3 linked regions of the Pelodiscus sinensis genome follow. The protein of the gene in region 2 purifies or fractionates together with the protein of the main gene of each other region. This does not show direct contact. Links are inferred from orthologs where the notes say so. Each region holds a gene or a part of one and is shown on either strand. Other genes may lie near its edges.

Region 1 (6,939 bases), on a different chromosome or scaffold from region 2:
AAGGGCTGAGGCCATGAGCTAGCAGCCGTGGCAGGTTATCTTTTGTCTGTCATGAGGGCGGAAACCCTCCAATCGCATCCTCCCCAAGTTAAAATACAGACTCCCTTAAAGAGCAGCAATAGTAAGTTGTTATCTTCTCTTGTCCAGCAGATGACTGTCTGACATATTATCCAGAGTAAAGAACTTGACAGCTAGTCACATCTCAGAAGCAATTTCCATAGAGAAAGGGAGGTGAACAATACACACAATAATTAAATAATGGACGAATAACTAATTGCCATAATTAAGAGCCTGCTCCTGCATTTGGCCACAGGAGTTACTTTAAAGAAGATGGCACCACCTCTGGGGTAGGATAAATGGGGAAAGCCACCCAGCGAGACTGCATGGGGCTGGCTGGCCCAGCGCTGAGATGCATCTGGTTCTGGGGTGGGGCACTTGGGGGAACAGCCGCACATAACACCACCTGGGGCTGACTCGCCTGGCACTGAGATGAAGCCAGCTCTGGGGCAGGGCAGCTGGGGGAACGGCCGCACATAACGCTGCGTGGGGCTGACTCACCCGGCTCTGAGATGCAGCCAGCTCTGGGGCAGGGTACCTGGGGGAACAGCCGCACATAACGCCACGTGGGGCTAGCTCACCCAGCCCTGAGATGCAGCCAGCTCTGGGGCAGGGTACCTGGGGGAACAGCCGCACATAACGCTGCGTGGGGCTGACTCGCCCGGCTCTGAGATGCAGCCAGCTCTGGGGCAGGGCACCCGAGGGAACAGCCACACACAAGGCCGCGTGGAGGTGACTCGCCCGGCTCTGAGATGCAGCCAGCTCTGGGGCAGGGCACCCGGGGGAACGGCCGCACATAACGCCGCATGGGGCTAGCTCACCCGGCTCTGAGATGCAGCCAGCTCTGGGGCAGGACACCCGGGGGAACGGCCGCACATAACGCCGCGTGGGGCTAGCTCACCCGGCCCTGAGATGCAGCCAGCTCTGGGGCAGGACACCCAGGGGAACGGCCGCACATAACGCCGTGTGGGGCTAGCTCACCCAGCTCTGAGATGCAGCCAGCTCTGGGGCAGGACACCCGGGGGAACGGCCGCACATAACGCCGTGTGGGGCTAGCTCACCCGGCCCTGAGATGCAGCCAGCTCTGGGACAGGACACCCGGGGGAACGGCTGCACATAATGCCGCGTGGGGCTAGCTCACCTGGCCCTGAGATGCAGCCAGCTCTGGGACAGGACACCCGAGGGAACGGCCGCACATAACGCCGCGTGGGGCTAGCTCACCCGGCTCTGAGATGCAGCCAGCTCTGGGGCAGGACACCCGGGGGAACAGCCGCACATAACGCCGCATGGGGCTAGCTCACCCGGCTCTGAGATGCAGCCAGCTCTGGGGCAGGGCATCCGGGGGAACAGCCGCACATAACCCCGCGGGGGCTGACTCACCCGGCCCTGAGATGCAGCCAGCTCTGGGGCAGGGCACCCGGGGGAACAGCCGCACATAACGCCGTGGGGGCTGACTCACCCGGCCCTGAGATGCAGCCAGCTCTGGGGCAGGGCACCCGGGGGAACAGCCGCACATAACGCTGCGGGGGCTGACTCACCCGGCTCTGAGATGCAGCCAGCTCTGGGGCAGGACACCCGGGGGAACGGCCGCACATAACGCCGCGTGGGGCTAGCTCACCCGGCCCTGAGATGCAGCCAGCTCTGGGGCAGGGCACCCGGGGGAACGGCCGCACATAACGCCGTGGGGGCTGACTCACCCGGCCCTGAGATGCAGCCAGCTCTGGGGCAGGGCACCCGGGGGAACAGCCGCACATAACGCCGCGGGGGCTGACTCACCCGACTCTGAGATGCAGCCAGCTCTGGGGCAGGACACCCGGGGGAACGGCCGCACATAACGCCGCGTGGGGCTAGCTCACCCGGCCCTGAGATGCAGCCAGCTCTGGGGCAGGGCACCCGGGGGAACGGCCGCACATAACGCTGCGGGGGCTGACTCACCCGGCCCTGAGATGCAGCCAGCTCTGGGGCAGGGCACCCGGGGGAACAGCCGCACATAACGCCGCGGGGGCTGACTCACCCGGCTCTGAGATGCAGCCAGCTCTGGGGCAGGACACCCGGGGGAACGGCCGCACATAACGCCGCGTGGGGCTAGCTCACCCGGCCCTGAGATGCAGCCAGCTCTGGGGCAGGGCATCCGGGGGAACAGCCGCACATAACGCCGTGTGGGGCTAGCTCACCCGGCCCTGAGATGCAGCCAGCTCTGGGGCAGGGCACCCGAGGGAACGGCCGCACATAACGCCGCGTGGGGCTAGCTCACCCGGCTCTGAGATGCAGCCAGCTCTGGGGCAGGACACCCGGGGGAACAGCCGCACATAACGCCGTGTGGGGCTAGCTCACCCGGCTCTGAGATGCAGCCAGCTCTGGGGCAGGACACCCAGGGGAACGGCCGCACATAACGCCGCGGGGGCTGACTCACCCGGCTCTGAGATGCAGCCAGCTCTGGGGCAGGACACCCGGGGGAACAGCCGCACATAACGCCGTGGGGGCTGACTCACCCGGCCCTGAGATGCAGCCAGCTCTGGGGCAGGACACCCAGGGGAACGGCCGCACATAACGCCGCATGGGGCTAGCTCACCCGGCTCTGAGATGCAGCCAGCTCTGGGGCAGGGCACCCGGGGGAACAGCCGCACACAAGGCCGCCCGTCTCCCGCACACCCTGCCGCTCACCATCGGCGCACTCTCTCGATGGCTGCCATCACCTTCTTGATGTCATCCTTGGCCCGGCTGCGGGTCTCGGCCCGCACGGTGCGCCCGGCCATGGGGACGGGACCCCGGGGCGCCGGGCGGGTCACTGCGCGCGGGTCCGGCTCGCTGGCCCTGGCTCCGCGCAGAACCGCCCCGCGCCGACCGAGCTCGCTGCGGGAGGCGGAGCGGAAGCGAACTCGGGCTTCCGCGGGCAGAGCCGGGGCCGGGCGGGCCTGGGGGGCGGGACTCCGGCTTCTCCGCAAGAGACACGCGCACCCCCGCGAGCCGGGCTGGGTCCCGCACCCCCTGCCCCCCCACAACCCCGACCCCCCCACTATATTCCCCCCCGCCAGCGAGGAACCCGGGTGTTCGGCCTCCCCCCCACTATATCCCCCCCCCCCGCCAGCGAGGAACCCGGGTGTTCGGCCCCCCCCACTATATCCGCCCCCGGCAGCGAGGAACCCGGGTGTTCGGCCTCCCCCCACTATATCCCCCCCGCCAGCGAGGAACCCGGGTGTTCGGCCCCCCCCACTATATCCCCCCCGCCAGCGAGGAACCCGGGTGTTCGGCCCCCCCCACTATATCCCCCCCGCCAGCGAGGAACCCGGGTGTTCGGCCTCCCCCCACTATATCCCCCCCGCCAGCGAGGAACCCGGGTGTTCGGCCCCCCCCACTATATCCCCCCCGCCAGCGAGGAACCCGGGTGTTCGGCCTCCCCCCCACTATATCCCCCCCGCCAGCGAGGAACCCGGGTGTTCGGCCTCCCCCCCACTATATCCCCCCCGCCAGCGAGGAACCCGGGTGTTCGGCCTCCCCCCCACTATATCCCCCCCCGCCAGCGAGGAACCCGGGTGTTCGGCCTCCCCCCCACTATATCCCCCCCGCCAGCGAGGAACCCGGGTGTTCGGCCCCCCCCCCCACTATATCCCTCCCGCCAGCGAGGAACCCGGGTGTTCGGCCTCCCCCCCACTATATCCCCCCCGCCAGCGAGGAACCCGGGTGTTCGGCCCCCCCCCCACTATATCCCTCCCGCCAGCGAGGAACCCGGGTGTTCGGCCCCCCCCACTATATCCGCCCCCGCCAGCGAGGAACCCGGGTGTTCGGCCTCCCCCCACTATATCCCCCCCGCCAGCGAGGAACCCGGGTGTTCGGCCCCCCCCCCACTATATCCCTCCCGCCAGCGAGGAACCCGGGTGTTCGGCCTCCCCCCACTATATCCCCCCCCCCCGCCAGCGAGGAACCCGGGTGTTCGGCCTCCCCCCCACTATATCCCCCCCCCGCCAGCGAGGAACCCGGGTGTTCGGCCCCCCCCACTATATCCGCCCCCGCCAGCGAGGAACCCGGGTGTTCGGCCTCCCCCCACTATATCCCCCCCCCCCCGCCAGCGAGGAACCCGGGTGTTCGGCCTCCCCCCACTATATCCCCCTCCCCGCCAGCGAGGAACCCGGGTGTTCGGCCTCCCCCCACTATATCCCCCCCCGCCAGCGAGGAACCCGGGTGTTCGGCCTCCCCCCACTATATCCCCCCCCCCGCCAGCGAGGAACCCGGGTGTTCGGCCTCCCCCCACTATATCCCCCCCCCCGCCAGCGAGGAACCCGGGTGTTCGGCCTCCCCCCACTATATCCCCCCCCGCCAGCGAGGAACCCGGGTGACCGACACCCCCCCCGCCAGCGAGGAACCCGGGTGACCGACACCCCCCCCCACTATATCCCCCCCCCGCCAGCGAGGAACCCGGGTGACCGACACCCCCCCCACTATATCCCCCCCCCGCCAGCGAGGAACCCGGGTGACCGACACCCCCCCCCACTATATTTCCCCCCCCCCCGCCAGCGAGGAACCCGGGTGACCGACACCCCCCCCACTATATCCCCCCCCGCCAGCGAGGAACCCGGGTGTCTGGCCTCCCCCCCACTATATCCCCCCGCCAGCGAGGAAGAGGATGTCTGCCCCCCCCATATCCCCTACACCAGCGAAGAACCCGGGTGTCCGACTCCCCCCCCCCCCACTATATCCCTCCCCCGCCAGCGAGGAACCCGGGTGTCCAGCCTCCCCCCCCCACTATATCCCTCCCCCCCCGCCAGCGAGGAACCCGGGTGTCCAGCCTCCCCCCCCCACTATATCCCTCCCCCCCCACTATATCCCTCCCCCGCCAGCGAGGAACCCGGGTGTCTGGCCTCCCCCCCACTATATCCCCCCGCCAGCGAGGAACCCGGGTGTCTGGCCTCCCCCCCACTATATCCCCCCGCCAGCGAGGAAGAGGATGTCTGCCCCCCCCATATCCCCTACACCAGCGAAGAACCCGGGTGTCCGACTCCCCCCCCCCCCACTATATCCCTCCCCCGCCAGCGAGGAACCCGGGTGTCCAGCCTCCCCCCCCACTATATCCCTCCCCCCCACTATATCCCTCCCCCGCCAGCGAGGAACCCGGGTGTCCAGCCTTCCCCCCCCCCACTATATCCCCCCCCACCAGCGAGGAACCCGGGTGTCCAGCCTTCCCCCCCCCCACTATATCCCCCCCCACCAGCGAGGAACCCGGGTGTCCAGCCTTCCCCCCCCCCACTATATCCCCCCCCACCAGCGAGGAACCTGGTTGTTCGGCCTCCCCCCCACTATTTCCCCCCCACCAGCGAGGAACCCGGGTGTCTGGCCTCCCCCCCACTATATCCCCCCCCCCGCCAGCAAGGAACCCAGGTGTCCCGCCTCCCACCCCCCACCCACTAGATCCTGCCCCCAGCCAGAGAAGAACCCAGGTGTACTGCCTCCCCGCCCCCCCACTAGATCCCTGCCCAGTCAGGAGAGAGCCCTGGTGTCCTGTCCCCCACCACAGGACCCCCCCAGTCAGGGGAGAGCCCGGATATCCGGCCTCCCCACCTTGCTGCAATTCCTAGACCCAGAACCCAGGAGTCCCGGCTCCTACCCCTTCCCCCCCCTTTAATCCTGGCAGTAGCTCAGCAGGGATTACAATGGAGGGGCCTGGGGTTAGACACTGAGCTCATTGTGCTGGGGTGACTCACCCTGGAGCAGGCTGGGGGGGTCACCATTACCTCAGCCGCCCACGGGCAGGAACCTGCTGCGGGGGGGGGGGCTATAGGTCTGGAGTGAGGGAAACGAGGGGGGGGCTGGGCTGGCAGGGGCTGCGGGGTGGGAGTGAGGGGCAGGACTGGGCTGGGGGCAGGAGTGAGGGGCAGGGCTGGGGGGCCGGGAGTGAGGGACAGGACTGGGCTGGTGGGGGCTGGGGGGCAGGAGTGAGGGGCACTGGCAGGGCTGGCGGGGGCTGGAGGGCAGGAGTGAGTGGCAGGGCAGGGCTGGCGGGGGCTGGGGGGCGGGAGTGAGGGGCAGGACTGGGCTGGCGGGGGCTGGGGGGCGAGAGTGAGGGGCAGGACTGGGCTGGCGGGGGCTGGGGGGCGGGAGTGAGGGGCAGGACTGGGCTGGCGGGGGCTGGGGGGCGGGAGTGAGGGGCAGGGCTGGGCTGGCGGGGGTTGGGGGGTGGGAGTGAGGGGCAGGACTGGGCTGGCAGGGGCTGGGGGGTGGGAGTGAGGGGCAGGACTGGGCTGGCGGGGGCTGGGGGGTGGAAGTGAGGGGCAGGACTGGGCTGGCGGGGGCTGGGGGGTGGGAGTGAGGGGCAGGACTGGGCTGGCGGGGGCTGGGGGGTGGGAGTGAGGGGCAGGGCTGGGCTTGTGGGGGCTGTGGGGCGGGAGTGAGGAGCGCCGGCAGGGCTGGGGGGCGGGAGTGAGGGGCAGGGCTGGGCTTGTGGGGGCTGTGGGGTGGGAGTGAGGGGCACCGGCTGGGCTGGGGGGTGGGAGTGAGGGGCACCGGCAGGGCTGGGGGCAGGGCTGGGGGGCGGGAGTGAGGGGCGCCGGCAGGGCTGGGAGGCGGGAATGAGGGGCACCGGCAGGGCTGGGGGCGCAGCTGGGGGTGTGTACCTGCAGCTCGGTGGACCCTGTACCTCGCTGCCTCCTGTCTTTGCACGTAGAGAGGCTTAGGAAAGCCCAGAAGCCCCCTGCTGACGGGTGGGGGGGTCTGTGGATTTCCGCAGAGCTGGGTCACATAGGGAGGGTCCGAGGTGTTACCCCTGCTCCCAGCCACCCCTCTAACCACTGCACCCCGCTTCCCTCCCAAAGCTGGGCTGGAGCGCTGCACTCCTGGCTCCCAGCCTCCCCCACTCTAACCACTAGGCCCCACCATCTCTCTCCAAAGCTG
Region 2 (7,116 bases):
CACTCTGGACCCTCTCCCTGCCCTCCAGCGTATTTATCTATCTCCCTCGCTTAGTGTCATCTGCGAACTTGCTGAGGGTGCCATCCATCCCCTCCTCCAGGTCATTAATGAAGATGTTGAACAAAACTGGTCCAAGAACAGATCCTTGGGGTACTTTGCTAGCAACCGACCGCCAACCTAACCCCGAGTCGTTTATCACCACCCATTGGGCCAGACAGTCTAGCCAGCTTTCTATCCATCTTACAGTCCTTTTATTCAATCCATTCTCCCTTAATTTGCTGGCAAGAATATTGTGGGAGACTATATCAGGAGCTTTGCTAAAGTCAAGATATATCACATCCACTGACTTTACCATGTCCACAGAGCCAGTTACCTCATCATAGAGGCTAATCAGATTGGTCAGATACGACTTGCCCTTCGTGAATCCATGCTGACTATTCCTGATCACTTTCCCCTCTTCCAAGTGCTTCAAAATGGATTCCTTGAGGATCCCCTCCATAATTTTTCCGGGGACCAAGGTGAGGCTGACTGGTCTGTAGTTCCCTGGATTGTCCTTCCCTTTTTTAAAGATGGGCACTACATTTGCCTTTTTCCAGTCATCCGGGATCTCTCCCGATCTCCACGAGTTTTCAAAGCTAATGGCCAAAGGCTCTGCAATTACATTTGCCAACTCCCTCAGTACCCTCGGGTGCATTAAATCCGGGCCCATGGATGTGTGCACGTTTAGCTTTTCTAAATCGTTCCTAACTTGTTCCTTCCCCACCAAGGGCTGCCCACCTCCTTTCCATACTGCGTTGCCTAGTGCATTTGTCTGGGAGCTGACCTTGGGTCCCTGGGCACCTGTGAATGACACGGCACCACTTGCCCTGCCCCACGCCAGGCCCGAGAACTCAGCTGGCTCCCAATCAGCAATTCCATCTCCGCAGCCCGGGATGGGGTTTAAACACCCCGCAGCTGCCCAGGCTAGGCCTCCGGGGCTTCTTGTCCTGCAGAAAGCAGCTGGGAAAAGCTCCCCCTTCTATTTCGGCCTTTCTCAGAGGGCTTGGGATCTCACCCGCACTCAGCGCCCATTGTGCCAGGCGCCCTGCATGTGCTACTGGGCCTGATAAGCTCACCCTGCCGCTGGCAGGACATTACCGACGGGTAAGCGGATTCATGGAGCTGTGAAGGGCCAGACTGTCCCGTGAGCCCAGGTCCTGGGGGCCAGGCTGAAAAGCTGCCCCCAGCTACAGGCCCGAGAATGTGGGAAACTGGCTATAAAGCAGCCAGCTGCTGAGAGTCTTTGGCCAAGCTTGGACAAGGGAGCTCCTGCGACAAAAGAGCCCCCCTGCTCCTGGGGCAGGCACAATATCTGGCCTGTAGACAAAAGGCCCGTGGCACGCAGGGTCTCCTGGGGCGGGGGAGCTTTGCCTATGCCATGCTGCAGGATTTCAGGCAAGCTGAGTTAGGGGTTCAGCGGAGACAAGCGTTACCCCCCCCCATCTGCCCCAGGGGGATTTTTGGCACCTTCCTCTGGAAGTGAAACGTGATCCTGGTCGTGGGGGGCTGTGGGGAATGGAACTACACCTGGGTTTAAAACGAAGCTTGGATTTGAGGGCTACGTCGGCCACTGTGACAGGAAGGCTAAACCTGTGCCAGGCATTACTGCTGCACCGATAGGTCCAGTCATGGGCCTGGACCCTACAGTGCTAGGTACTGTACAAACAAAGGGGAACGATCTAAGCCTAAGACATGAGCCCTTAGCTGGACACAGGCAGCCTATCGGGGCAGCAGGAGAACCCTTGGGCCCACAGTGCTCAGCAAAGACCCGGCCCAGCAGGTTTCCTAGCACAGGTGGGTTTTAAAGTGGGACTAGAAGGTGGCAGCTTTGCAGGTATTCGGGGAGCTCCCCCCTGCCCGGCCAGTTCAGGCCCCACACCCGCTCCCCCAAGCTCTCAGAGGCTGGCCGGGCGTCTGAGCTAGACGCCAGGGCAAGGCCACGGGAGATCGGGGTTCACATTCCTGACCCTGCTGCAGGGTGGCTGCATGCTCTGCTCTCTGCCTGGGAGGCCAGAATGGGGCTTGCCCGAAGCAATGGGAACAAAGGGCCAACCCTTGATCCTGTTGCAAGAGGGGTGGGGGTCTTGCTAGGACCTGGCCTCTATGCTCTGCCTCATCCCAAAGCGCCCTGGGGTGGTCCCCGGCAAAGAGGGGCTTGCTTCCCTGGAGAGCCCCATACTCTGCCAGTCTCCCCTGCCCCCTGCTGCTTTTCTACCCACTGACCTGCAAAGCAAATCCACCTTTCTAGCCAACTCCCTGGCAAGTCAGGTATCCCCCAGCTGCTACACCCAGAGCAAATCAAGTTGTGCTAGCAAGTTCTGCTAACGCCCCTCCCCCATTCCTCCAGCCAGCTGTGTCCCCTGCCCCACAGATAGTACTGCTGTGCCCCCCACGAGTTTTGCAATAGCAGATCACATACCCCACACACACATACAGATGAATCCCTGCCCTCCTCTGGCATCCCCCCATCCAGCTGTGTCCTTCCTACCAGCTCTGCAGCCCCCCCTCCCACAACCCACATGTGCCCCCTACTAGCTCTGCATCCCATACCCAGCCCAGATGTACCCCAAATGCCTTTGCACCCCCCCACGCAGCCTAAATACACCCCAGCTAGCTCTGCACCCTTCACCCAGCTTAGATGCACCCCAGGCAGCTCTGCACCCCCCAGCCAGCTCTGCACCCCCTAAGCAGCCTAGGTGCACCCCAAGCAGCTCTGCATGCCCCCAGCATAGCCCTCTGTAGCAGAGGGCCACCAGCTCTGGAATCCCCCAGTTCAGGGATTGCCACCTGTATTCTACACCCCCCAGGTCAGATGTGCGCCCCCCTCCCCGCAGCACTGCCCCCTCCTGTCTGCCGGCAAATGCAAACACAACATACTCACCCCCACAGCCCTGCCTGTGCCTAAAGCGCCCGCCCTCTCCCCAAGTGTTTTTTTAAAAGGTGGGTTTAACGCCTGGGCCTTCCCCACAAAAACGAGTCGCCGTCACGAACAGGATTCGAACCTGTGCGGGGAAACCCCATTGGATTTCGAGTCCAACGCCTTAACCACTCGGCCACCGTGACACCCGGCCAGGGCTTCGCCGAGCTCCGGCTAGAAGATCCACATAGGAGAGGGGCGGGGGGGGGAGCAACAGAATCTTCCTCCCCCCACGCGTGCTGCAGACCCCCGAGTGCCCCCCAACCCCATCGTGACCCCCTGCTCCCCTCCACCACAGGGCCGGGCCCGCCCCTCCTGGCCACGGCTTTCCCAGTGCGCCCCACGGCCTCTCCCCGCCTATCCCCAGAGCTCCCCGCTGCTCCCATCCTGAGACCCCCCCATCTCCCTATGCCCCACAGCCCCCACCCCACAGCCCCCTCCCCGAACCTCTATAGCCTCCTCTGTCCCCCCATTCTGCCATCCCCATAGCCCCCTGTGCCCCACAGCCCCCTCCCCCCCGGCATCCCCACAGCTTCCTCTGCCCCCTCCCCACGGGACCCCCCAGTCCCAGCGATACCCATATAGCCCCACAGCCGCCCCCTCCGCCATGGCACCCCAGCCCCTCCCCACGGGACCCCCAGCCCCCTCTTCTCCCCTCGAAACCTCCAGCCCCCGCCCCACGGAACCCCCCCCCCCAACCCCAGCGATCCCCACAGCCCCTCCCCCCCCGGACTTCCTCTCAGCCCGGGAGCAATTTTCATAGCCCCCCCCACCGCCTCCCCCCATGCACCCCCCCACCCCAGAGATCCCCCCCATAGCCCCACAACCCGCCCCCCCCATCGCCCCGGCGCTGCGCGACGGGAAGATGGCGGCGGCTGGCCGGCAGGGGGCGCCGCGCGGCGGGAAGATGGCGGCGGGCGGCCGGCAGGGGGCGCCGCGCGGCGGGAAGATGGCGGCGCGGGGCGGCCGGCGGCCGGCAGGGGGCGCCGCGCGGCGGGAAGATGGCGGCGCGGGGCGGCGGGCGGCCGGCAGGGGGCGCTGCGCGGCGGGAAGATGGCGGCGCGGGGCGGCCGGCGGCCGGCAGGGGGCGCTGCGCGGCGGGAAGATGGCGGCGCGGGGCGGCGGGCGGCCGGCAGGGGGCGCTGCGCGGCGGGAAGATGGCGGCGCGGGGCGGCGGGCGGCCGGCAGGGGGCGCTGCGCGGCGGGAAGATGGCGGTGCGGAAGAAGGACGGCGGCCCCAACGTCAAGTACTACGAGGCCGCGGACACGGTGGGGCAGTTCGACAGCGCGCGGCTCTGGCTGGGCAAGAACTACAAGAAGGTACCGGCCCGGCCGGCCCCCCCGCCCTGCGCCTCGCCCCCCACGGGCCCCCGCTCCTCGGGCCCCTCCCCCCGCCCCTTCTGCCCCCCCAATCGCCGCACCCCACTGACAGGCGTCAGCCCGCCTCGAGCCCCCTGGGTCACCCACATCTCACCCGCCCCCGTGCCCCCCCGTGCCCCTCCGTGCGCCTGTCCTCCCCACCGACCCCCGTTTCCCCCAGTGTCTGCCCCCCCCAGTGTCTGTCCCCCCCCCCGTGCCTGTCCTCCCCACCGACCCCCTCCCCCGTGCCCCACCAGTGTCTGTCCTCCCCCCTGACCCCCTCCCCCGTGCCCCACCAGTGTCTGTCCTCCCCCCTGACCCCCTCCCCCGTGCCCCACCAGTGTCTGTCCTCCCCCCTGACCCCCTCCCCCGTGCCCCACCAGTGTCTGTCCTCCCCCCTGACCCCCTCCCCCGTGCCCCACCAGTGTCTGTCCTCCCCACTGACCCCCTCCCCCGTGCCCCACCAGTGTCTGTCCTCCCCCCTGACCCCCTCCCCCGTGCCCCACCAGTGTCTGTCCTCCCCCCTGACCCCCTCCCCCGTGCCCCACCAGTGTCTGTCCTCCCCCCTGACCCCCTCCCCCGTGCCCCACCAGTGTCTGTCCTCCCCACTGACACTCCCCCCTCATGTTCCACTGGTGCCTGTCCTAACCACTGACTTCAGTTCTCTATGCCCCACTGGTGCCTGCCCTCTCCATTGACCCCCATCCTCTGTGCCCCACTGGCACCTGTGCTCCATACTGACCCACATCCCCCGTGCCCCATCCTCCCTGCTGATCCCCAGCCTCACTGGCAGCTCACAACCCCCGCCTCCACTGAATTCCCTCAGCCCCTTCCCATCTCCTCAGGGCCCCCGTTCCCCTATGCAGTCCCTTCCCTGCTCCTCCATTACAGCCTCTTTCCCCTCCTTGCCTGAACCCCTCGTTCACCCCCAGCGACCCTCCTGTTCCGCCTTCCAGCGCCTTAATTCCCTTCCAATCACCTACCCCTGTCTCAGCACCTCATTGAATTCCCCCTCTACTCCCCCCAGCTCCGCAGAGGCCTTACAGTGCATGGGGCTGATCTGATTTGTACAGGAAGGGGGAGGGGGGTTGTTCCCCACCTAACCACATCTGTCCTGGGGAAGGTGCCCCCTTAACACTCTCTTGGGTCCCCCATCTCACCCACCGTGGCTGGGAGCCGTGTCCCTTCCTGGTGTGCGGAGATGCGAGCCAGGCTCCCACTAGGAACTGCTCCATTTCCTATCCCCTCTCGGGGGGGCCCAGCCCCGCAGCTGATAACGTCGGTCTCCCCTCGGATCCTTGTCCATCTTTCACCCAAGTCCTTTTGCCTGCCTGTGCCGAGACAAAGGCCAGCCTGTGTGCGGGGAAAAGTGACCGAGCCAAGCCCCTATACTAGGGCTTGGGATCCCTCACTCCCGTGAAACCGTCACCAGATCTGGGCTGCGAGGAGTCTTTTCTTTGCAAGGGTAGCTTTAGGGTTACGATCATCCAGCCACCTGCTGCGCTGTCTCAGCATAGGGCGTGTGGGCGGGGTCCTGCGGGCCCCACCTGGCTCTTCCAACCCCCTCGCCTCCCCCTTGTGCTGTCATGCAAGCAGCATGGGTCTGTGGTTCCCAGGCTGTTGCCTTTGACCTTCCACAGGCAGCGAGAAGCTGAGTCACCAGACAGCTCCTGGCTCTGGAGTGACAGGCTGACCTGGCCATCCCTGCTCACTGGGAATTGGCCTTTTCACACCCTCGCAGGGTTGAACCACTGCCGGAAGCTGGGACTGGCGGACAGGGGATGGCTCGCTAGCTAATTGCCCTCTTCTGTTCATTCCCTCTGAAGCCCTGGCGACCGCCACTGTGAAAGACAGGCGGCTGGGCTGGAGAGGCCATTGGTCTGCCCCAGTGCGGCCGTTCCTACGTCCTTCACTCCCCTCCCCCTAACTATCTTCAGCTAAAGGCTCTGCCCCCATGTGCCAGGCTGCCTGCTGACTATCATCTCTGTGCCCACACCCATACCAATTGGGTGAAATACGCGTCACCTCCAGCAGAATCCTAGAGTTGGATGAGACCTCAGGCAGTCGTCCTCAAAGCAGGACCAACCGCAACTACATTGCCCTAGCCAGGGCTTTTGGCAAGCCGGGGCTTAAAACTTCTAAGGATAGAGATGCCGTCACCTCCCTAGGCAACCCATCCCAGCGCTTCCCACCCTACTAGGGAATTAGCTTTTCCTAATAACCAACCTCTACCTCCCCCACGGCAACCTGAGACCATTGCCCCTTGTTCTGTCATCTACAGATAGCTACATGGGGCATTTGCTTTGGGTTGCCTCAGAGTTTGAAACAAGCGCAGTTTATTGCTCTGGATTATTCCAGTGATGCTGGAGGGGGGGAACCAAACGCCATCAGGGCACCCTTGGGCTGGGTGCTGGACAGACACATGGCGAGAGACCGTCCTTCTCTCAGTCATCACAGGCAAGACAAAGTGTGGAAGGAGAAAGCGGCCCAGGGAAAGATGAAGAAGCCATTCCTTGGGGCAGAGGCGGGACCGTGGTCAGCCAAATTCCTGCCCCTTGCAATTCATGGTCCTCAGGGAAAGGCCTTTGTATGGAATGGCCGATATGATCTGCTTGTTTATTTCCTGGGAGTCTTGGTTCCCAGACAGACCCCAGGGCCAGGCCCCCAATGCTGCCTCTGTTTAAAAAGAGCTGCACTCAGTCTGACAAAAGGCACCCTTGGGGACAGAACATCCCAGCCAGCGATCCCCTCAGCCTCTCCCCACCTGCTGGGCCATCTAGCTTCAGCTGGGGCTCTGCCAG
Region 3 (6,913 bases), on a different chromosome or scaffold from region 2:
AAGAATATAAAATTGCACCCCTTCATGTTTATATATTCATAGTAGTTATTTCGTAGAAAAAGGGAAAATAAACAATAATAATAAAATAATAATAATACAATGTTTATTTATTATAGTTGAGATCTGCATAACCAATCAATTAATACATATATATATATATATAATTATAAAATATCACCATGTCATGTACTATTAGGTAATCGTTTTTAATTGTACTTTGCACACTTTTTATGAGGCAAACCCATCAATAATTGTGTTGTAATTAATATTATTCGCTACCTCGTGTTCTATTGATAAAATGGGACATATTTGATAATCTCTCCTGACCTGTGGATGCTTGAAGGTAGTTCTTAATTAATTTTAGTTTACTAAAACTTCTTTCAGAAGAAGCCATAGTCACTGGCAAGCAGAGAAATATTTGCAGGGCGATTTCAAAATTTGGATAAGATTCGGCCAGACTATATTCATAAATTAACTGTAGAAGGTCCAAACTAGTTGCAGATGAAATGTTTGGCAACAGCGCTAATGCCTGATGTTTAAAACTCTGAATCTCTGACAAAATTTCCGAGGCATTCAAATCGCTGCCATATTTAAAACTTAAATCTGCTGCTTTTTGAAGATTAGTAGTATCCATTTTAACAAAAGAATCTCCTGATAAAAAAATTGAAATCCGAAGAGCTCTCATTTAGCGTTTCATATCTCCAGTTTTAATTCAAATATTATGCAGTTAAATATGCTTTTATTTGTATTTTGAATGATTCTTCAGCTGATAAATTAACACTTTCATCTTGTGACTCAAAGCTGTTGTCTTTTAACTTTTCACTTTCTGCATTCTGTAAATTCTGCTGATATTTCTATATTTTGGACCGTTTTTTTACAATCAGTAAAAATATCTTCCACATAGCTCTTGTTTCCATGGATCATCTTAGAAGCCTGACAAACAGAAATGCCTTTTGCTTGTAACGCTTTATTCATTCTGGCAATGTGAGTTAGAATATTATGCCAAATGGATAACTGCACAAAAACTCAAAATTAATTTTTTAAGAAAGTTATTAGCTGCTAAAACTGTTTCAGCACATTTAGATGAAGCAGCAACATCATTTAGGACCTTAGTAACTTCTGAAATCTGCAAATTTAAAGCTGCAATTGAATTTGCTTTTGATGCCCATCTAGTATCAGCATGACCTTTTAGTGATACTTTTAATAAACCCATTAAAATATTCCAGCGGGTGGTAGAATTAGAAATAAAAAGTGTTTATTTTTGTACAGTGCCAAAGAATGAAACCATAGAGGAATTTACAGAAGCTGCATGTACTCCAACGAAATTGAGACTGTGGGCCAAGCACGGTACACAATTTGCAAATTTATTTATTGCAGAATGACAGCTTTGATGCCTTTGTACATGCCTGACATATTTGCACCATTATTGTACCCTTGGCCTCATGCGTTTTGAAGATCAATTCCATTCTTTTCAAACGTCTTTACTATTTCTTTGGCTAATCCACTTCCTGTTTTTTCCTTGGTCTCAATAAAGTCTATGAAACTTTCTTCTATAGTTATGATTCTATCATCAATTTTCACAGCTCACAATCTGAGATATTTGATCACGATGAGGTATATCTGGTGTATAATCCAGAAGCATAGAATAATATTTTGCTTTTTTAAAATTTTGGATATAATTTCAATTCGAACTTGGTTTGCTATTAACCCAATACAGCCGGTCCCCGAGTTACGAACGGTCGATTTATGACCGTTAGCACTTATGACCAAACCTCCCATTAAGCGGTCGTAAAGGTGGTTCCCGAGTTACGAACGCAACCCACGCTTATGAACAGCGCAGTCGCATGTAACTTAATGGGTCCGACTTATGAACACTTCGAGTTACGGCCACGTGTTTGGTTTGTAACTCAGGACCAGGTGTAAACTCATTTTGGATAGCCAGTGAAAAAGAGCTCACCGAACCTTTTTGTGAGTTACAATATGTTGTTTTAGTTCAACATCATAATGACTTATAAATTCCATTAGATTAAGAAATATTCCCGAATTAGGGTTTCCTATAACACTACTCAATCCTCTAAGTGGAAGATTATTTTTGGCACAAAAAATCTAGAATTATTTTCACGATATGTCTCCATTTTTGCTTATCAGCTTCAATAGCTTTTTTGTAGTGCATCATCAATATATTCTCTACTCAATCTTTTTCGCATGGATTTCCATTTACAGAAATTTTCATGACGAATGCTTGAATTTTCATGCTCTACAATACGGTTTAAATTTTTCAAAGCATTAAATCTGCTGGTTTTCTGATTTGCAATATTCAGTTTGGAAAAACGCTGATCAAATAATATGCATGGAAAACAAAAAAATGGCCTTACTAGTTTCAGAATAAATAAGCCAATTGCGCTCTAAAATTCTTCATTATAAAGCACTTTTTAAAACCAATCACCTGAAAATTTTTGGCCCTCTGATGATACTGATTCATGAAAATCCATGGTTTCTCTCTCGCCAGGTGCTTGTTCAATAAGATGGCATCTTATTTTGTCATTTATAGAGAGCCAAGATGGTGGATTGTTAAAATTTATTTATATTACAGTTGAATCTTGTTGATAGTCCTGGTCATTGTTAATGTCAATAATCATAATTGGTGACAAAGTTGAGACCTTGAGATTGAGCTTTTGGTCAATCTCAGAGTCAGAGATTGATGCTGAAGCTGTAATGTCAAGTTCCAGTTGCTGGTCTGTGGTAATAATCAGTACTGAAGTTGTATGATCATTGTCATCCGAGGGTTCAGCTAATGGTGCATTTTCAGTATTCAGTGCATTTTCCACTAGCCATTTCCCCATTTCTCTCAACATCTTTTCATTTTTCTCTCATGGTGAATTTTTGTCATTTAAGAAACTCTGCCCCAGAAGGTCATTTCCATTTGGAATTCATAATGTAGGATCTTTTTCTGAGTGGCCTAAATTCCGGCCTTGTTACGGCTCAGATGCAAAGCATATTTTACTACACCACCACTCAAGGGAGAGATGAGACACTCCCCTGCCCCACACCAACCAGAAGCAGAGCGACTCTGCTGGCGCTGGGATTGCAGGTTTGTGTCACTCCCCTTCCCCTACCTCCACCACCAGCTGCTAGTCAGTGCAGAGGCCTGGACCCCTGCAACGGTGCCCGACCACCTACTAGTCCCCCAAACCACATCACTGGGGCGGGCGGGAGAGGTGGGACAGGGTCCAGGGCAGGAAAGGGAAGAGGCTCAGAGATGTTATCCCGTCCCCCTCCTTCAGCAGTCTCCCCGGCACCTTAGTCGCTGGGGAATAGGGAGGTTAAGAACCTATAGACAACAACATTGCAAGTGCAGACTTTCCCCCTCCAGCCCCAGAAGCGACACCAACGTGAGTGCACGACTCCTGAGCAAGTCAGTTCCCAAATAAAACCACCTGTCCCTGCGCAAGTTGCAGCAGCTCCCGCCCGGACCCTTTAGAGGGGCCAGGCTCCTGCCCCAGCGGAGGGGATGGAACGTTCCCGGGGCCGGGACGCAGCAGCACGCGCTCCCAATAAGTCTCCTGCCCTCACTGCAACTTGCACAAGCCCCGCCCCGGGTCGCTCAGCCCAGGAACGTAATGACTAGGCGCAACCAAGACTGGGCGCGGGGGAGGAGGGGAAACGAGCCACTTTCTCCTGTAAAGTGAGCACTTCCAGCTCCCCCAACTCCCGGCCGTACCACTTGCAGCCTGTCTCAGGCTGAGAGCTCTGGGTAGGAGTGTACCATATTAGCAGGGGGGGCGGAATGCGCAACGAAAAGGACGCGCTTAAAGCAGGCAAGCGGCTGCTTCCTGTCAACGAAGCTGCTGCTCGCTAGGGGGAACGGGAGGGTCCCAGTTGTCGCTGGGGTTGCCACATGCGGTCGGAAGGCGGAGGGCAGTGGCAGCGAGGCTTGCACCCCCTCTTCTCGATCGGGATGGGCTGGCCCTGCGAGCCGTCACGCCCCCTCCCTCTCGCGGCGGTGAATGTTCTTCCCTGATCGCAGCCTCCTCCCGTCGCTGCTTGGCGCGCGGCCGGGGCGCTGGACCCTCGTGCGCGCAGGGAGCCGACATGTCGGTGGCGTTCGCGGCCCCGAGGCAGCGGGGCAAGGGCGAGATCACGCCGGCCGCCATCCAGAAGGTGAGGGAGGGGCCGGGCCCGACACGGGGCTGCTTCCGGCCCGGCCAGGGGGCGGCGACTGGCGGGGGCTGGAAACACGCCGGGGCAGGGCTGTGGCGCTAGGGGCGGAGGGCCCCCTGGGGAGGCAGGAGTGCGGGGGGGGGGCTGCGGAGGGGCCCCTGGGGAGGCAGGAGTGCGGGGGGGGGGGGGGGAATCTTCCCCAGGTGTGCAGAAGAGCCCTGGGCGCCTCCAAAGCGTCTCTCTTTCACCCACCCAAGTTGGTTCAATAGAATATTTTAAACACCATCTCCCCCCCCCCCACCATACACACACACACACACACACACTGCCCGCTCCACACCGTGTCTCTTAATTGGGGTAACGGGTCAGGCCAATAACTACCCCAGAGGTGTGTATTGGTTAACTGTCATATCTCACCTTTTGGGATGAACAGGCTTTTATCACTTCGGTCTTTGTCCAGTGCTTATTGGTGAGGTTAGACAAAACTACAGCGTCTCAATTTAGTTTTATTGATCCCTTTAAAAAAAAAAATCTTGCCTAGTAAGGAGGAGAGGTGGTTTGAGCAGAGCCTTGAGACTTAGGGTGCCCCTTAAGATTGTGATGGGCAAATACTGGCCCACAGGCTAGACTTGATCTGCCATAGTTAGCCTCCGATGATCGCTTTTCCCATCGGCTGTGAATCACTTCTTCCTGGCCACTGGGAAGGGTGGGTAAAGGTGTGGCCTGGACACTGCTTCCCACATCTCCCATTGGCCGGAACAGCAATCTTCAGCCAGCAGGAGCTGTGATTGCCAGTGCCTCTGGAGACACAGGTAAATATAGCGGAGGAAGCCTGTCAGGGTATAACCCACACTGTTTTATTGCTCACCCCTGCTCTAGGTGCTATTATAGGCACTGCTGATATCTTGGTATGTGCTTCTGTGATTAAAGAAAATCACCTCACTGTTTACCCCTTTCTCTAGAGCATTTATAAATAAGTTGGATAGAATTAGTCCCTGGACAGACCCTTGGGGGACCCCACTAGTTGCCTCTCTCCACTCAACATTTACCATTTATTGCTACCTTTAGTTTCCTTTTAACCAGTTATCAGTCCATGAAAGTACTTTCCCTCTAAGAATACTATATCCACTGCATCCCTCTTGTCCACATGCTTGTTGACACCACTCAGAGAACTCTAGTAGATTAGTTAAGGCATGATTTCCCTTTACAGAAACCATGTTGTCTTTCCTTCAACAAATTATGTTCATTTATGTGTCTGACAATTTTAGTTTCAACTAATTTGCCCGGTACTGACATTAGACTTACCAGTCTGTAATTTCCAGGATCATTTCTAGAGCCCTTTTAAAATATTGGTGTCACGTTAGCTATCTTCCAGTCACTAGGTACAGAAGCCGATTTAAAAGATAAATTACAAACCACAGTTAATAGTTACGTACTTTCACATTTGAGTTCTGAAAGAACTCTTGGGTGAATGCCATCTGGTCCCAGTGACTTGTTACTGTTAAGTTTATCGATTTGTTCCAAAACCTCCTCTGGGACAATTACTCAGATTTGTCACTTAAAAAGAATGACTCAAGTTTTGGGAATCTAAGACCGAAGCAAAGAATTCATTTAGTTTTTCCACAATTACCTTATCTTTGAGTGCTTCTTTGGCATCTCCATTGTCCAGAGGCCCCACTGGTTGTTTAGCAAGCTTCTTGCTTCTGATGTACTTAAACATTTTGCTATTACTGTTTGATTTTTTTTGACTAGCTGTTCTTCAAACTCCTTTTTGACTACTTATATTTTTTACACTTAATTTGACAGAGTTTATGCTCCTTTCTATTTTCCTCACTAGGATTTAACTTCCACTTTTTAAAACATTGCCTTTTTATCTCTTACTGCTTCTTGGTTATGTCAAGTCATGGTGGCACTTTTTTTGTTTCTTTTACTGTTTTAAATTTTGGGTATACATTTAAGTTGGGACTCTATTATGGTGTCTTTGAAAAGTTTCCATTCAGCTTGCAGGGATTTTACTTTTGTCACTGTACCGTTCAATTTCTGTTTAACTAACCTCCTCATTTTTGTTCCCATTTATGAAATTAAATGCCATAGTGTTGGACTGCTGAGGCATTTTGCCCACCACAGGGATGTTAAATTTTATTACATTATGGTCACTATTTCCAAGTGGTCCAGTTATATATACCTCTTGGACCATATGCTGTGCTCCACTTTTGACTAAATCAAGATTTGTCTCTTCCCCTTGTGTATTCCAGAACCAGCTGCTCCAAGAAGCAGTCATTTAAGGGATCAAGAAATTTTATCTCTGCATCCCATCCTGAGGTGCCGTGTAATCAGTCAATATGGGGATAGGTGAAATCCCCTACTATACTGAGTTTTTTATTTTGATAGCCTCTCTAATCTCCCTTAGCATATCATAGTCACTATCACTGTCCTGATCAGGTGGTCAATAATATATCATTACTGCTATATTCTTATTATTGGAGCATGGAATTACTACCCATAAAAATTCTATGGAATATTTTGGCTCATTTCAGATTTTTACTTCACTTGATTCTACATTTTCTTTCACGTATAGTGCCACTCCGCCATGAGCATGACCTGTTCTGTCCTTCTGATGTATTTTGTACCCTGATATGACTGTCCCCCATTGATTACTTTCATTCCACCAAGTTTGTGATGCCTATTATATCAATATCCTCCTTTAATACGAGGCACCCTAGTTCACCCATCTTAATATTTAGACTTCTAA

Evidence for each region.
Region 1: the proteins of SMARCC2 (region 2) and BCL7C purify together in Homo sapiens (affinity purification with mass spectrometry; 4 studies listed by BioGRID and IntAct, counting the BioPlex papers as one, with this or other methods). This does not show direct contact. The link is inferred for Pelodiscus sinensis from reciprocal best matches to the Homo sapiens genes SMARCC2 and BCL7C.
Region 3: the proteins of SMARCC2 (region 2) and SS18 purify together in Homo sapiens (affinity purification with mass spectrometry; 3 studies listed by BioGRID and IntAct, counting the BioPlex papers as one, with this or other methods). This does not show direct contact. The link is inferred for Pelodiscus sinensis from reciprocal best matches to the Homo sapiens genes SMARCC2 and SS18.

Annotation. Positions count from the first base shown.
Region 1 is NC_134714.1:134,097,724-134,104,662, reverse strand, and holds the start of BCL7C (B-cell CLL/lymphoma 7 protein family member C), read right to left. Parts: upstream 3,071-6,939; 5' UTR 2,814-3,070; coding exon 2,722-2,813; intron 1-2,721. UniProt on the Homo sapiens protein: May play an anti-apoptotic role.
Region 2 is NC_134729.1:4,054,771-4,061,886, forward strand, and holds the start of SMARCC2 (SWI/SNF complex subunit SMARCC2), read left to right. Parts: upstream 1-4,101; 5' UTR 4,102-4,165; coding exon 4,166-4,276; intron 4,277-7,116. UniProt on the Homo sapiens protein: Involved in transcriptional activation and repression of select genes by chromatin remodeling (alteration of DNA-nucleosome topology).
Region 3 is NC_134712.1:76,224,610-76,231,522, forward strand, and holds the start of SS18 (protein SSXT), read left to right. Parts: upstream 1-3,892; 5' UTR 3,893-4,092; coding exon 4,093-4,161; intron 4,162-6,913. UniProt on the Homo sapiens protein: Appears to function synergistically with RBM14 as a transcriptional coactivator. Isoform 1 and isoform 2 function in nuclear receptor coactivation. Isoform 1 and isoform 2 function in general transcriptional coactivation.